2 linked regions of the Drosophila melanogaster genome follow. The protein of the gene in region 1 interacts with the protein of each later gene in a pairwise test. Each region holds a gene or a part of one and is shown in the gene's direction. Other genes may lie near its edges.

The links.
Region 2: the proteins of CG1418 (region 1) and CG11779 interact in a two-hybrid assay, tested with the Drosophila melanogaster proteins (one large-scale study listed by BioGRID).

What each region holds. Positions count from the first base shown.
Region 1 is NT_033778.4:9,962,211-9,968,200, reverse strand, and holds CG1418 (uncharacterized protein), read left to right. Parts: upstream 1-3,133; 5' UTR 3,134-3,484; coding exon 3,485-3,567; intron 3,568-3,619; coding exon 3,620-3,826; intron 3,827-3,879; coding exon 3,880-4,171; 3' UTR 4,172-4,366; downstream 4,367-5,990. Other genes in the region: CG12133 (uncharacterized protein), read right to left, coding at 1-324, 389-936; Pal1 (Peptidyl-alpha-hydroxyglycine-alpha-amidating lyase 1), read right to left, coding at 4,834-5,003, 5,541-5,975.
Region 2 is NT_033777.3:19,152,490-19,162,856, reverse strand, and holds CG11779 (uncharacterized protein), read left to right. Parts: upstream 1-2,978; 5' UTR 2,979-3,151; coding exon 3,152-3,247; exon of another isoform or gene 3,248-3,534; coding exon of another isoform or gene 3,535-3,798; intron 3,799-3,871; coding exon of another isoform or gene 3,872-4,341; intron 4,342-4,884; coding exon of another isoform or gene 4,885-5,356; exon of another isoform or gene 5,357-5,619; intron 5,620-5,839; exon of another isoform or gene 5,840-6,195; coding exon of another isoform or gene 6,196-6,198; intron 6,199-6,310; coding exon 6,311-6,391; intron 6,392-6,454; coding exon 6,455-6,992; intron 6,993-7,059; coding exon 7,060-7,724; 3' UTR 7,725-8,452; downstream 8,453-10,367. Other genes in the region: CG42359 (uncharacterized protein), read left to right, coding at 1,107-1,505; Nsun5 (Nop2/Sun-like domain containing protein 5), read left to right, coding at 619-741, 818-1,067, 1,633-2,130, 2,194-2,624; nanos, read right to left, coding at 3,535-3,798, 3,872-4,341, 4,885-5,356; CG5835 (uncharacterized protein), read left to right, coding at 9,395-9,461.

The sequences.
Region 1 (5,990 bases):
GTTATTCCGGCTAGGTAATAAAATTGATCAGCACCCCTGCCCACCGAAGCCATCAGCGGGCTACCGGAATCTCCCAGTCCGGTGTCGGTGCCATCCCATCCCATGGCACATATCTGGATGTCCTTATCGACGAGCAGTGTTGGATACCGATTCAAGCATTCATCCGGACTCATTCCACTGATGGTGCCTTGGCGAAGTACGGTGCTTTTTTGCTGCAGACCCGAATCGCCCCAGCCGGCAATTTGAAAAGGGAAGTTTTTGAAGGAGGAAGTTGACAATTCAATGCCAGGCCAAATGCAAATGGGTCTGATCTGAAGAGTGTATCTGAAAGAGAGGACATCGATGGGAAAATGTGAAAAGAGGGAACCCCAAAGAGCACACTACTTACTTCACCCGACTCTTCAGACGCAACAGAGCAATGTCGTTGTAGTGTCTTCCATTTCTCGTGTAGTACTGCTCGTGCGGAACCCTCAGATCCACATCGATGTCCACGTGCGCTGGAGCCCATATCTTGGCTCCATTCGGCAGCCAGGTGTAGTCGGGATCGTTCTCGGTGTCATGCTCGCCCAGGCGCACACGTGCCACGTAGAAGTCATTCACATTCAAACAATGGGCTGCCGTCAGCACATAGCGACTGGCGATCAAGGAGCCCGCACACATGGGAGACGGTCGCTGCTTTGCTGTGTAGGCTTCGTAACCCAGCAGGACTGTCCAGGGAAACTGGTTGGACTGTGCCTCCATGCCGCCTACGATATATGACGAAGGAGGACTCTGTCCGCAGACCCTGCTATCTGGTAGTTTATCCCCTGCAACCATCGGGCAGCAGGTAAAAACCATGTGCACTAGCTCGTGGGCAAAAGGATTAATGTTGCATAGTTTGTTCCGGTACTGTGATTTTTGATCGTTTGTCATGTTCCGGGGATGTAGAATCTTCATAAGAGGTTCACATTTGCTCAGTGGGATGCAAATCTCGTCTAGTCGGCAAAAATTGAATTTTGCTAAGGGGGGTAACAAAAATTGACCAATTAATGGAGCTCAAAATGGCCGAAAATAGCATTTGTAACACTGTATGAAATCCTATTAAAGATTGCATTTTCCTGGTAAGACTATAGTTTTGTGTAGCGAAATCAACCCAATGAAGTTCCAATTTTGTAATTATAAGGTATTAATTATTGTTGAGACCAAAAATAGATCCGTGAGCTGCCAAAGTATATATTTAACACTGACACTGATCCGATGAAATTGTAGATATGTATATTGTATTGTAGTTGCCACTATTTACCAAATTGGAAAGAATTCGCCAAGGAAATCGCTTGAAGCAAAAGTGCCAAATAAAAATGGATCGAGACCATCTTGAAATGTCAAAGCCTAACCGAATACTGAATTCAAAAGCCAGTTGGTCTTAAAAGTTCAAGCTTATCTCGATTGCTAAAATGATTCATGGCACGATGTCCAATCCACAACTTTCCTTGGGTTAATTATAATGGCCTGCCTGTCCGTCCGTATGAATGTCGAGATGTCGGAAACATTAAGAGTAAGGAAGCATGTAAGTTTTCTTTAAAACCGTGCCACGCCCCTGTTACGCCCTAAACTCCTAAAACGCTCACATCCTAAAAGTCTTCTGGATACCAGGAAACGTTCAAATCCTACTACTTTTAAACATATCAAAACTGTAGTAATAGATTGATCAGAGCTATATCCTTGCTACACGCCAAATTATTCAAATTCTACATATCCATATGTTGCAGGTTCATAAACTGAGTAACAGGTATCTAACAGTCGCAACACTCGAATACATTCACAGGTTTTTTGGAAATGAAGGACACCATCACCCTGATACCGCGTGACTAGAACGAGATTTATTTTTTACTTTCTCCACAATCCCAAAATACCGTTGAACAAAAAGATGATAATCAATTTCCATCTCCGTAAACAAATATAAATCCATTCTGAATATTTCAAGACACAATTTTTTTAAGTTAAAATCAAAAATCTGATTCATACCGGAACTGTGAAAAAATACTTATCACTTGTGTCACACCAGCAATATGTTATGACGTCAAAAATCCATATCTGTAAATATATCTAAGTTAGAACTTTTATTATATAGTCTATATTCATAATGGTAATGCAAATGAAAACTCTCTTAACTTCTAAAACTCTTTGTTGGTAAATGTAAATAGAAATGTAACATTTAACCTGAGTGTGTATACAAGATACAAGAAATATAAGATATGTATGTATTAGCCAGAAGACCTGAGAAAAATTTAATGGATGTTGTGTTATCCGTCAAATAAATTGTTCAAAAAATATTTAAAATATCAGCGCGATTCTTACCTGTTACTTGTAAAGCAACGCAGACTCTTAAAATTTCTTTCGTTACGCCTACTTATATAAAAGGAAATTAAAAGAATTGCTTAATATGTTTGCTTTGTTTGGCCTTGTTAAAAGAAATAATAAGTAATTCTGTGATGAAAACATTTTTAAGCAGAGAGAACTATATAGTCCAGTTCCTCGACTATCAGATACCAATTACTCAGCTGGTGGAAAAGTTCAACATTCATTTTGGCTTATCTATACAAATTGGAAAAAAAAATAATAAGATGAAAAATAGGCAAGTAACTTTTTAAAAGTGTGGGTTTGGTTTGGTTTGGGCGCATCCAACATATCTTTTGCCATACTGATAACAAATAGTAAAATTAAAAAATGTCTACACATAAAAGTGAAGACGTAGCAGATTTCAGTGTTAAAATGGGCGTGGTAAAAGGTTTTTGGCATAGCTCTAGAAATTGGCAAGACAAGTAATAAAATGAAAAAAAATCGATTCATTTTTTTAAATTGTGGCGTTGCATCATCAGAAAGAAACTGAATTTCTAATCTTAACTTTCTAGCTTTAATAGTTCAAGTTAATAGACAAGGATATCAAAAATATATACATTTTTAAACGAATCTAGTATAACCATCTACTACACGAGTAATAGGTAGAAAAATATAATTGTTTTGTGTAAAAATATCATTAAAAAATAATTCAAATGTTTAGAGAAAAAGTTTTGTATTAAATGTTTGATTGCATTCAGCGCTTTGGATTTGTTTTCAGTTGATTTCGAGAATTTGCGCACTCGCAACTCTGGCCACACCGCACGTCACGGCAACGGCAATCCTAGAACTATCTGCCACATCAGATTTTTCAAACTTTGTATACTGTTTCTCAAAAGAAAACGATGTCATAGCAAATTAAGAGTGAATCGTAAAATCAACATCGAAAGTGTTGCCGCCTCCATGTAGAAGTGACCCCGCTAAAGTCCTCGCCGCTTTACAAACGCCGCAGCATCCTCAAGACAGTTCTTGGACCAAGTGGAACGAATCCAAAGATACACATAACACTTGTGGAACGCCCACACTTGTCGAAAGAAGAATTGTAGATTGCAGCGAAGACGTGTATCTAAGATAAGTGTTAGGACGAGGTTGGGAAAGCACAAGCAAAATGGCACACACTGGCGGGAACCTATCCGGTAACATGCAGCCGCCACCGCCTTCCGGAGGCAGGTTCTCCGTGGACATGCAAAGGTGAGTAAACCGTAACAAGGAGCGAATAGCTAATTACTCTTGAACCCTGCAGCCTGCCCTCGCTATCCAACCTGCCATCACCGCTGCAGATCTTCCAAATGGTCCGAAACTCCCTGCGGCCCTGGGTAGTCTTCTTCAACATCAACAATTTCAAAACGGCCATCAGCATGCAGCGGCTAAATAGCCGGGTTATTCGGAATCTCTCCTATTTTCAGGCCAACTACGTTTTCATCTTTTTTGTACTGATGATATACTGCCTGTAAGTGATTCTAAAAACCTTATTGCACCCCATTTAATAGTTATAATCTTAAGCATCACGGCTCCCTGCATTCTGCTGGTCATCCTGGCTTCCGCTTTTGGCTGCCATAAGCTGCGCGTGCGCAACAGTAACATTACCATCGTGGGACAACAACTGACGCCCAGCCAGCAGATCATCGCACTCAATCTGGCGACGGCACCAGTGCTATTCCTGGTGGGCGCGGGTGCGGTTTTGTTTTGGACGCTGGGTGCTTCATGCTTCGTGATTGCTATGCATGCTATATTCTACAACATCGATGCTATTGTAACGGAGGAGAATGAGGGTTTCCTCGCCCAGGTTGTCTGACCGCCAGCCAGAAGCTAAACCCTAGGTCTTCTGGGATCGTGGCAACCAGGGACGAGGAAAGGGGCTAAACATATTCGCCACTATGGGGCCTTGCAAGTCGACACAATATGTTGTACACCTATTTATAACGAAATCTAGTTAAGCCGCAGACTTTAAATAATCGAAATACACACTATGACAGATTCATACGACTATATTCTTTTTGGCAAATTAATCGCAATATATGAGGCGCATTCGCTGAGAACTTCGATTTAATTCGAAAAAAAAAATTAATTTAAAGGATGTGGTCAAGTCATTGGACTCTGTGGCACTTACAATATTTCAGATATTTTCGAGCTCTTTAGAGGCATGCGTTTTAAAAATGTATTCTTTTAAATAAAGAATAAATATAAGTAACCGGAAAAAAATCGCATAGTCGGTTCTCCAAAAGAAGTTTCCATAAATAAGCTGTTTAAAATACATTGAACAAACGGCTCAATAAATCAACTAGAAATACACCACGATCGGAATTCTCTGCGATATGCACCACAAGGAAGGTAAATAAAGTTACCTAAAGTACACACATATACATAGCTCGCGTAAAACTAAGTCGGTATTTCAATGAGGTACAGGTAGTTAGAACTAGGAATGCTTTGTTAGCTGCGTAAGTCTTGGTCCTTCGCCTAGGCGTACTGGGCACTCGCCAGTGTCTTCGTCTCCTGCTCCTCGTCGCTGGCCTGCTGGTCCAGCTTCTCGAATCCGTTGCGATCCCGATCGAGAAGTCCGCCCAGCTTGAAGCCATCGCTTTTCTCCCACGCGTGGCGACGACCGCGTGCTCCGAAAGGCAGGCAACCTGTGGGATATGTTGGTACAACTGATTAACTAACAATTACCATGGGATTTATATGAGCAATAACACTAGTCACCCCATTCCCTTCTTAGTTCATGCATAGATCTGCGATCTGGCGTGCACTGGAACAAACCAAAAACGAAAACAGAATACACTTAAGGATAAACGTAAATTTTGTTTGTATGCTTATGTATTTTGTATAAAAAGTTGTATATAATTTGTATATAAATGCGGTATAAATTTTAATTACAATAAAGTTGAACGAAAAGTAAGCCAACGAATACAGAACACACAAGAAGTGGACATGCTGTGTAATTAACGACACCAAAAAAAGCGTAAATAGGGAGATTCAATTGTGGATACAAATGTAAACAGGTTGGAGCTTATAAGTACAGGACACTAAATCAGTTAAGTGTGACAGCACAACACAGGACATTGAGTGAGGAGTTAGCACTACCGATCAGCCAAGACTCTGGGTGGAAGCAGTCAGCTTTCGGTACACCAAGTCACTGGGCGTAGCGGAGCTGTTCGCTTGGTTACCTCGTTTCCTCCGCCGCGCAAAGATCAAAGCCAAGGCAAAGGTAGAGCCGGCGAAAAGGAGCATGAGCGAAGCCACCAGGATTGCTTTGCCGCTCGGGTGGTGCACAGCCACTGCGGGAACCTGGTCCCCTCCCACAGCTTGGCTAATAGCGCTGTCCCTAGAGTCCTTGCTGGCCGACAAGGACATTGGCTTGGCCAGAGATCGGTGGACGAACTTGTGGATACGCATTGGATTCAGCTCGGCCACGTAGATCTCATTGCCGTCGGCTGTAACGGCCACGTCGTGCGGGTTCTGGAACTGCAGGTTATTGGGGCCGAACTTAGACACCAGTTGCTTGCTGCGCATGCTTAGCACGAAACCGTGCACCTCGTTATAATGCTCAGGATGGATGCCTAACTCGGCGGTTGGTCCGTTGACAATGACCAGCTGCCCACCTGTAGCGGAAAATG
Region 2 (10,367 bases), on another chromosome or scaffold:
CTCAGCCTTGATATCGTCTATCAACTCCTGGGCAAACATAGAAAGGTACGTTTCCTTAAAGTCCTTAAAGAATAGCGTGCTTCATTTTAATATTTTTTAATTAAAGCAGCCGTACAGACCCCAAAACAAACGACACACCAGAAACAAATTGGAAAAAACTTGATTTAATTCCAATTTACCAACTTATGCACGATAAATAAAAGCATGATTCTAAATTTTGGTAAACCTCCAAGAACGCGCACACTTTGACATTTTAAACTGCGGCTTTATCGCGCCAAAATTTTTAACCATGAAAATATTCTTGTGTTGGCAATGCTTGAAGTACAGTAATTTTTGCTCGCAACGTATGGCCACACTGCCAATTTATTTGTAAATTTGATACCCTGTATGTAAATATATTGGATAGAACATATATGTTTTGTAGTTATCGTTGGCAAAATTAGAACAACCTTTACATTAATTGTAGATATTTTCAAAACATGAATAACAATATGATTTGTTTCAAACGCCACATGCTTATCTCCAGCCCTGACATTCGATAAGCATATATCGATAAAGTCGTGATTGGGGTTGCACCTATTCTAGCGCAAACAACACATACACGTGCACGTGACGACAATGAGTAAAAAACCGCATTCCATAAAAGTTCCCACCCAATACAGGGCGACTGCCAAGATTTTGAAGGCGGCACTGGAGCAGCAGAAGTGCATCAAGACCCTAATATTTGCAGAGAAGCATGCCGTAAGTGGATTGGACCTCTCGTCCGCAGATCAAACCAATATGCGTATAACTTTTCCCTCTCGCACTTCACTTGTAGCGTACACGCTCTTTGCATACGGTTCTGAAAAAATTTAGCGAAAATCGTGTGGCACTGGAAAAGGCCATCGAAGAGACAGGACTGCTCAGGGACAATCCCAGTTTTGATCCCAGTTTGGCCAAGATTCTAGTCACCGAACTGCTGTTTGGCAGGAAGGAGCTGAACGGCGAAAGCAAACCCGTGCAAACGGTGCGAAGTTACAAGGATCGACTGCTAAATTCCATCAGAGATTTCGGTGTCCAGCGAAAAGGCAGGTTATCACACCGATTACCAGTATTAGCCGGCTGAGATGGGCAAGAAGAACAGGAAACAACAGCATGTCGATGTGGTGCCAGCTACCACTGATGATTCCCCGGCTGTCATTGATTCTCCCGTGGAGCATCATACGCAGCAGGAGGACACCAGTGCGGAGGTCTTCCTCTGGCTGTTGGCCTACAGTGTGCTCATGTTCACGCTGCCCTTCTTGGGCTTCTATGGCGTCCGCAGCTGGCTGCAGGAGTCCTTCCCCCATTTGGACCTTTTCACGGTCAACTGTTGGTCAGTTCTCACGGCTGTTGTGGTTGTTAACCTCGTGGTGGCCATGTATGTATTAAAGGCTTTCCGCGAGAAGCCCCCACCACCCTTGGAACCCGTGCAGCAGGATGAGGACGACGAGCCGGAAGCTGCGGAGCCAAAGAAAGAACAGTAACTTAAGTGCTGCCAGCCAAGTCCAGATTATTTCGATCGTTTAAAGGACCAGTAACGACTCTTAACAACTCTTAATAAATCTTACTTTGGCTACAATTTTGAACTCGTCTTTTTGTTTGCCCACACAGAACCCAATCCTCGATATGTGCGCATCAACACAAATCTATACAGCTTGGCGGAGGCCTTGGACTACCTGCATAAAAGCGACTGGCGGCGCAAGGAGCTGCCTGCGGACGCCAGCTATGCGGATTTTCTGACTGCCATCAAATCGCTGGCGGAGAACGAGTTCATGACCGATCTGCACGTTGAGGGTGTGCTCATTTTTCCTGCCAAGTGGTCCAACTACTGGGTCCGCCATCCGTTGGTGCACAGCAAGAGGTTTATACTGCAGAACAAGGCCACCTGTTTGGCCGCCGAACTACTTGCTCCGCCGTCTGGGGCCACTGTGCTGGATATGTGCGCAGCTCCCGGTATGAAGACAGTGCACATATGCAATGTGATGCAGAACAAGGGATGCATCTACTCCGTGGAGCAGGACCACGTACGCTACAATACGCTGTGCGAAATAACAAAGGATGCTGGTTGCGATATTGTAAAACCCATTTTGGGAGACGCCTTGAACCTAAGTGAGTTTTATATTTATATATTTCACAATGAATATTTAAAAAAGTAACACGTTTGAATTTCAGCACCCGAACGCTTTCCGGACGTAGAGTACATCCTGGTGGACCCTAGTTGCTCTGGCAGCGGAATGCAAAACCGCATGACCGTGTGCGACGAGCCGAAGGAGGACAAGCGGCTGCAAAAGCTGCAGGGTTTGCAAATTAAGATCCTGTCGCACGCGATGGGCGCCTTTCCGAACGTCAAACGCATTGCCTACTGCACGTGTTCGCTGTGGAAGGAGGAAAACGAGCAGGTGGTGCAGCGTTGTCTTCAGCTAAATCCATCCTTCAAGCTGCTCAGCTGCAAGAAGGCCTTGCGCAACAAGTGGCACAATGTGGGCGACAAGGACTATCCCAATATTGGCAAGAACGTCCTGTATTGCCAGCCGGACAGTGATCTTACCGATGGCATCTTCCTGGCCCTTTTCGAGAAACGCCGCGAGGGCGAAAAGGATTAGTTGTTTCAAACGCAAGAAGGACATTTGTTTCCTTAAATTGTAACCATTTCTTTATTTGGCACTCGAGCCATTGAATTTTTCATTTTCAGAATATGTGTACACATTTTTTAAAAAAATAAAAAAATTATATAATGCTGGCGGTTGTTTCATGTGTGAAAAATTGATCAATGGTAAACAAAATTGAATAAATATATAACATATATATATATATATATATATATATATATATATATATATATAGATATGTGTGTTGAAATGAATACTTGCGATACATGTAATAAAAATACTCTTCGCTTATCTATCAAAAAGTGCGGAATGTCAAAATTTAAAATTTTACAATGAATGCGTAGCCGACGACGAAAGTGTTCCTTGCTATTTCCTTTAGCAAGATTTAAATTTAGATTAAATTCTAATGATACGATTGACAGTTCGAAATTCAAAGTGTTCCTTTTTCAAAATTTAGTAAAGATTGTAGATCAATTGTAGATATATCGAAATTTTTCGGCCGCAAGCGAACATTTTACGAAATGAAGGCGACCAGTTGCAGACCAATTCCATTCATCAACTTTCGGATTGTAAGATATTTCTATCGGCCACGACGATTGAACAAGTATTACGATATTGTAAGTCTTCTTTAACAAAATTAGTTTCCCTTTCACAGAAACAGACATAAATTCTTGAATTATTGACTTGGATTTGAGTGATCGTTCGTTGTCTATACTATAAGATCTATAGGCACGGGATAACGCTCTAAATCTCTTTAAAATCGAACGCGCCAGGCGCTATTTAAACGTTACTATCTATCTATCTGGTTAACCCAGCTTTGATCGGAATGCGTATATATATTTCATGTTATATAAACGCTGCAAAAGCTGCCAGAGCCTCTGCTCCAGAGCTGGATTCGCCCTCTCTAAACCTTCATCTGTTGCTTGTAGTAACTGCTCTTGGCTAGGCGGAACGATTCCGCCTTGATCGCATCCTCCATGGTGATGATCGGCTTCTTGGGGCAGTACTTAATCGTGTGCGCCGAGTCCCCAGATGCCCCGCAGATGGGGCACACGTAGGTGCGTAGTTTGGGGCACAGCACTCGGTTAAAGTTATCTCGCACTGAGTGGCTATTGATAACCGCCTCTGGTTCGTTGTTATTCTCACAAAAGACGCAGTGGCGGCTGATCTGTTGGAGAAACAAGATAACAAATATATTTTGCAAGTTTTAATTCTGCGAATCCTGGATCAGATCCACTCACCTCTTTGGCCTTGCTGTTGTAACGCTTGTACACCTTGTTGTTGTTGTTATTATTGTTACTGGAATTGGAAGCTCCGCGCAGCTGTTCGCCCTGCACGGGCAATCCCAGACCCATTCCCACGCCGAGATTGGTGGACACAGTGGCCGCTGTTTGGGCCTGCAAACCCATTGTATTGGGAGCGGCTGGTATATACGACATGTTTCGCCACACGTTGTTCAGATGCTCCCGGTAGTTGTTCAGCCAGTGGGTGGCGAGTGGAATGGGCATTAAGTTGCCGCCATTGGTCTGCAGCTGGGCAGGATTGCGGCCCAGTGGCAGGTGCAGCCCCTGCTGTTGCTGATGCTGCTGCTGCGGTGGCATTTGCACCTGTGGCGGAGCACTCCCGTAGGACATGCGACCGAGATCATCGCTGGCATAGCCATTGGTCGCGAACTCCTGCATCACATCCTGCATCGAGCCAGCCGCATTTTCTGGGAATAGCAAGCTTTTCATTACCTTGTCCTGAACGTATTTTTTTTATTATTCGCGTTTCAATTGCATTTCAGAAATGTAATAAGCAAATACGGATTAGTTTTTGCATACAAAAAAAAAACAAGAACAGACGAGAAAAAGCAAAGAACTTCTAGAAAATGTAAGACGCAAAATGGCTTTCCGAAGTTAAAACAAAAAGGAATAGCGAAAATGCTAAGGTCAATGGCCGAAAATTCAGGGGCGCTCGAAAAACCTCTTGAAGGGGATACAAGTGTTGGGCAAAGATATATTTTAAAGCACATACAAAATAGTAAAATAAAAAATATACTACACTAAATGGCGAAAATCCTCTGACCTCTGCAGCAATTATACATTTACACAATTTTACTTCTGTTTTGCTCTGTGCTTTCGTTGCCCCTTTAACTAAGCCCATGGCCATTGACTTTGGCATAACTGTACTTGTACAGATAGTCATCTCGCTCCCGCGCACTGTTTTTGGCTATTCTGTTTTAAACGACGCCATATTCGCCATTTCTTCTTACCTGCTGCGCCCGTCGTCACCTGCGCAAAGATTTTCAAGGATCGCGCAATCTCGTCCGTTTGCTGGTGACTCGCACTAGCCGCTGCCGCTGATGCAGCCAGCGCCAATTGGTGCTGCGCCATGGCCAGTTGCTGCTGCTGCTGGAGCAGCAAGTGGTAGTGGTACTGTCGCTGCATAAGGAGCGAATTGGCGGTGGCTGCGCTGTCGGCCAGAAAAGGGAAGTGCGTCGACTGCGCAGACGTCGACGGGTCAGGGGTCACCGGCGTAATGGGCGGACTCAAAGTGGCCGACGAGTTGGCCCCACTGGTATCCAAATACATGTCCTGCAGGCCCAGAATGTTGAGCCCTCCTCTGGCGTGAAAAGCAGAAAAGTTATCCTGCAATTGGAAAATCTTTCCAGACTGAGCCAACGAGGGGGGATTTGCAACACCTACTGCTGCTGCGCCACTGCCCTCCAAGTTGCTGCGGAACATGGCGAAAATCCGGGTCGAAAGTTACGGTTATCGCGCACTCTACTTTCCACAAATCCTCACCCAAAAACCAAGCACAGTTTATTCAACTGAAGTATTCGCGATACTTCTTTATCTAATAATAATGTACATGTAACTAAACTCGCTTTTGGGTTAAAATCGTGACGCAGAGGCAAAAAAAATCGTATGTCCCTTAGACAACTTGAAACAACTGCGAAGCGTACGGCAATTCCAGGAATTTTGTGGTAAAGCTACGCGCCAACTAACGGTTCTTGCTTAGAGGTGGAATAATGTAGTTTTCCAGCGATAATAAATATATCGATATTTTTAGTAAAATTGAAAAGGTAAACTTAATTTTAGAAAATAATTTATAAGAAATTTAATAGTATGCAAAATAATTTTTACTTGCTAAGAATATGTGCCACTAATTAAAAGCTGGACACCGCGCAATGGAAAATAGTACTACAACACAGCAACAAAGCCTGAGTTATCAACAAAAAAATACGAAAACATCTCCCAAAACTAAGCACCCACACGCGCCACTCGCCGTCACAACACAATCACTGCACACCACCATTCGAATTTCGCGCACTGTGACAACATCACATGATATCGGCGCGGCAACATCGGATTACCGACAAAACGAACTATCGCACGAGCCACCGCCGGCGAAGAGCGCTCGTTTTGCAACACCGGCGCGCGCTGAACGAAGAGAACAGCTGACTGCTTGATACGTGCGTGTTTCGCGGCAGGAATTACATAAAGTTTAGAGCCTCTGACGCCAGACCCCCCGAACATTCGCTCCGATCAAACTACCTGCGAACGGTCACCTAATCCCCACCATGGTAGGTTACCTCTGATCCCGGTCATCACTGGCGTTCGCTCACATCCGTCCTTACATGTGCATATTTCGAGGTTAAAACGGTCGAAGCTTTCAATGATTTTTTCTCCTTGCAGTACAGAATAGCTGCCCTTGTGCGGGATCGCGCCTGTCTCTTCACGTGCCAGCAGGCCTCGCAGAACCTGCAGCAGCAGCAGGTTAGAGTTTGGCTCATAAAACCCCATGGCGCAACCGGCCTAAGTCATGACTTTACTCCGCAGCCCCGCTTTTATAGTGCGCCAGGTCGCAGGGCCGGCTTCTTCTCGCAGTTCTTCGACAACATGAAGGCGGAGATGGATAAGAACAAGGAGATCAAGGACAATATCCGAAAGTTCCGTGAGGAGGCCCAGAAGCTGGAAGAATCGGATGCCCTGAAATCGGCGCGGCAAAAGTTTAACATTGTCGAATCGGAGGCGCAAAAGTCGTCTAGCATGCTAAAGGAGCAGCTGGGCGCCATCAAGGAGCGCGTAGGCGATGTTCTGGAGGACGCCAGCAAATCCCACCTGGCCAAAAAGGTTACCGAGGAGCTCTCGAAGAAGGCTAGGGGGGTCAGCGACACGATCTCCGACACCAGTGGCAAGCTGGGCCAGACCAGCGCATTCCAGGCTATCTCTAACACGACGACGACCATCAAGAAGGAGATGGACAGCGCGAGCATAGAGAATCGTGTCTATCGTGCTCCTGCCAAGTTGCGAAAGCGCGTCCAGCTCGTCATGAGCGATAGTGATCGCGTTGTGGAGCCCAACACGGAAGCCACTGGTGAGTCTCCATCTTTTTCCTTCAATAAGATCAAAGGTCATGGCCATAATGTAATGTTACTTTTCAGGTATGGAGCTGCACAAGGACTCCAAGTTCTACGAGTCGTGGGAGAACTTCAAGAACAACAATACCTACGTGAACAAGGTGCTTGACTGGAAGGTTAAATACGACGAGTCCGAGAACCCTGTTATTCGTGCCTCCCGCCTGCTGACCGATAAAGTGTCCGACGTCATGGGTGGACTCTTTTCAAAGACAGAGCTTTCGGAAACGATGACGGAGCTGGTGAAAATCGATCCGAGCTTTGATCAGAAGGATTTCCTCCGCGATTGCGAAACGGACATCATTCCAAATATTCTGGAATCGATTGTCCGTGGGGATCTGGAGATTCTGAAGGATTGGTGCTTTGAGAGCACTTTCAATATTATCGCAAATCCCATTAAGGAGGCTAAGAAGGCCGGCGTGTACCTGGACTCCAAGATCCTCGACATCGAGAACATTGAACTGGCAATGGGCAAGGTTATGGAGCAGGGCCCGGTACTGATTATCACGTTCCAAGCCCAGCAGATTATGTGCGTGCGGGACCAGAAGAGTCAGGTCGTCGAGGGAGATCCGGAGAAGGTGATGCGGGTTCACTACGTCTGGGTGCTGTGCCGCGACCGCAACGAACTCAACCCCAAGGCTGCCTGGCGGCTGATGGAGCTGTCCGCCAACAGCTCAGAGCAATTTGTTTAGCGCGCTGCCACGCCTTTCTTTTTTACCGAGCCGTTTAAGTTTCCCTCATTTTCTCATCCAAAAAACAAACGAAAAGATTACTGGACACTGAGCATTGACGACGAACTGACCACGAACTCGACCCGCAGGAATCTATTAAGTGTGTACAAAGGTTTCGCTTTCGATTGCTTTGAAAGTTTTGTCCGCCACTAGTCAACTGCGTCCGCCCGGCAGGGGCTGCTGGTCGGTCCCGTGAACGATTCCCCCACGAATTCCGGGCACAGCAGACTGCCGGCTCCGGCGCGGCTCATATCCCAAATGACGCCCCGGTTGGCCGTTCCTTGCGGCCACGCCCACCGCCGATCCACTTCCGGCTAGCACGGAAGGAGTGTTCGGTGCGGGGATTGGCCGTCGGGATCGTGGTTCCTCCGCTGGTGTCCTGGCCAAATCTATAACGTTGAAGCTTAAAGTGCAACCGCCGGTGTATAAGGCGTATAAGTAGTGACCATAAGCAAATTGTTGAGTGTAGTTGAGTTTAGGTATTTTAAGGCCCCAACCCTTTCCGACACCCCCCCCCCTCCCAATCCCCACCCCCTTCTCTTGTAAATATGGAATTCGCTCAGGGCGGCTTGGGCATCGTAAATTGACTGTACACACAGAATCCAAAGAGTTGTATGTACGTACACATCGAGCGCCACTCAGAATGTCTAGAAAAATAAAAATACTTCAATATTTTTACATGTACCATTTAAGCAGCTGGCGAATTCTTGTGAAATAAGTGTTATGTTTCCTTACCCTAATCACAGACATCCAAGTTTATGGTTGCCCCATGGATCGGGCATCCGTAAGCGCCACTTGCTACTAAGTGGGCAAAATAAAAAAAATCCAATACTTTTACATAATCCATTCGATTGGGTGTTTTTAAAACATGGAATGCTTTATTTTCCGATGACAGTTGTAAAACATTTTAATTTTACCTTGGTTAATAAGTAGTATAAACTTGCTGTTTTGAGGGAGAAAATAGTTTGTTGCTCAAATAAAAATGTTTGCAAATACCTAAGTAGTCATTGTTTTCTATGCATGTGATTCATGTATCTCAAAAACTTGAAAAATATTTTGATGTTTGTGACAAAAACAGTGATTATAAATTAGAGACATTTTTATTTGATGAATAATTAGCATAAAAAAGCCTATAAGTATTTGATTTTTTAATTCACAGAATTCATTCATGACCCACTTCGTTATTCAAAATAGCACATATCAGGAATAAAATGTACTGAATAATAATAATAATTTATACCTTTAACAATCGGTTAACGAGCAAGGTGGTAAAATCCGAGCAAAGTTAAGAATGCTAAGTAATTTCTTCGTTTCGAATACCCCCAACAGTAAGTCAATGTTACTGCCTCGATCGGTTAACAGAGAGTTAACAGAGTTGGGGTTAACTCGGCTGGCTCTCAGCTTGAGTTTGTCATTCCGCACGGAAAGCTCGTCGCGAACGCACGTAAAACTGGCAAGGCGGAGAAATATAACAAACATTTACAATTTGGCCCGCAGAATAAGCCGAACGAGCGCTTAATCATCGAAAAGTATCCAGCGATCGAGTGGCGCGTAACCTGTGCGTGAGTGATAAGGAGCTAATTGATAAAGGAAGTGACGACGGTGCCCGCATATCTACATAAATTCGCAATATGATGGCACTGCGGAAAACTTTGGTCTTCAACAGTGCGCTTCTGTTGGTTCTGCTGCTGGCGGAGTGTAAGTACCACGACAGATAAAAAGATATAACTACAGTGACAACGGGCGAAACAAGATAGATAGACACGCACACTCGATGTTTCCACTTCTGCAGCGAAACTAGTTTGCAGCGCAGCTGGATGGGATCGAGTTGGAGCGGCCACTTGGCTAGACAGCTAACAGTTTACGGTTCACCCTTTGCCTTAAGTGCCAGCCAAGATCGAAGACCATGTCCGGTTCGGGACGCCTTTATGGTGAAGCCCGCCCGGTTTACAGCGCATAAATATGGGGTTTTTATTGAATGGTTCGACCGCCCGCCGTCCCGTCGCAATGAATCGTCGTCCATCAAGGTCCCGCCAGGTCGCGAAATTAAATTGCAAGACTTTAATTCCATGGGGGAACTCCATCCATCCAGCTGGCTTCGCAGTGCAGATAAGATTTCGCCAGGCCTTTTGCGCTATATTGGTAAATGATCGCTACGCAGGAATTGTAAGCGAACAGTTGTGGTCAAAATAATAGGCGTTGTTGTATAAATCCTGCCAAGAGGGAACTATTCAGATGGATAATTGGGTTTCAGATTTCTTTTTTAAATCAATAAGTTCTAAAAGTACAATTTGTTGAAATGATAGTGGACATTCTAGCATTGGATTTTCATGTTGTATTTTTCATTTTTAAGCTTGAAAGCCAATTAATTTAATTACAATATAATCCTTAAAATTTCCTTACTATTACTACTATTACATAACCAACGAGATTACTTTATAACAAATGGCCAAATGACTGCCGTTCCTTCCTGCAGATTATGAGGTGTCAGAACTTTATGAGCTGGGTCTTAACTTATATTATTTGTCCTAAAGTTGTTAGCACCCGCAACTCAGTGATAAGAACTCTCCGGACTCTTTGACACTTGTCAAAAGTGGATCAAGT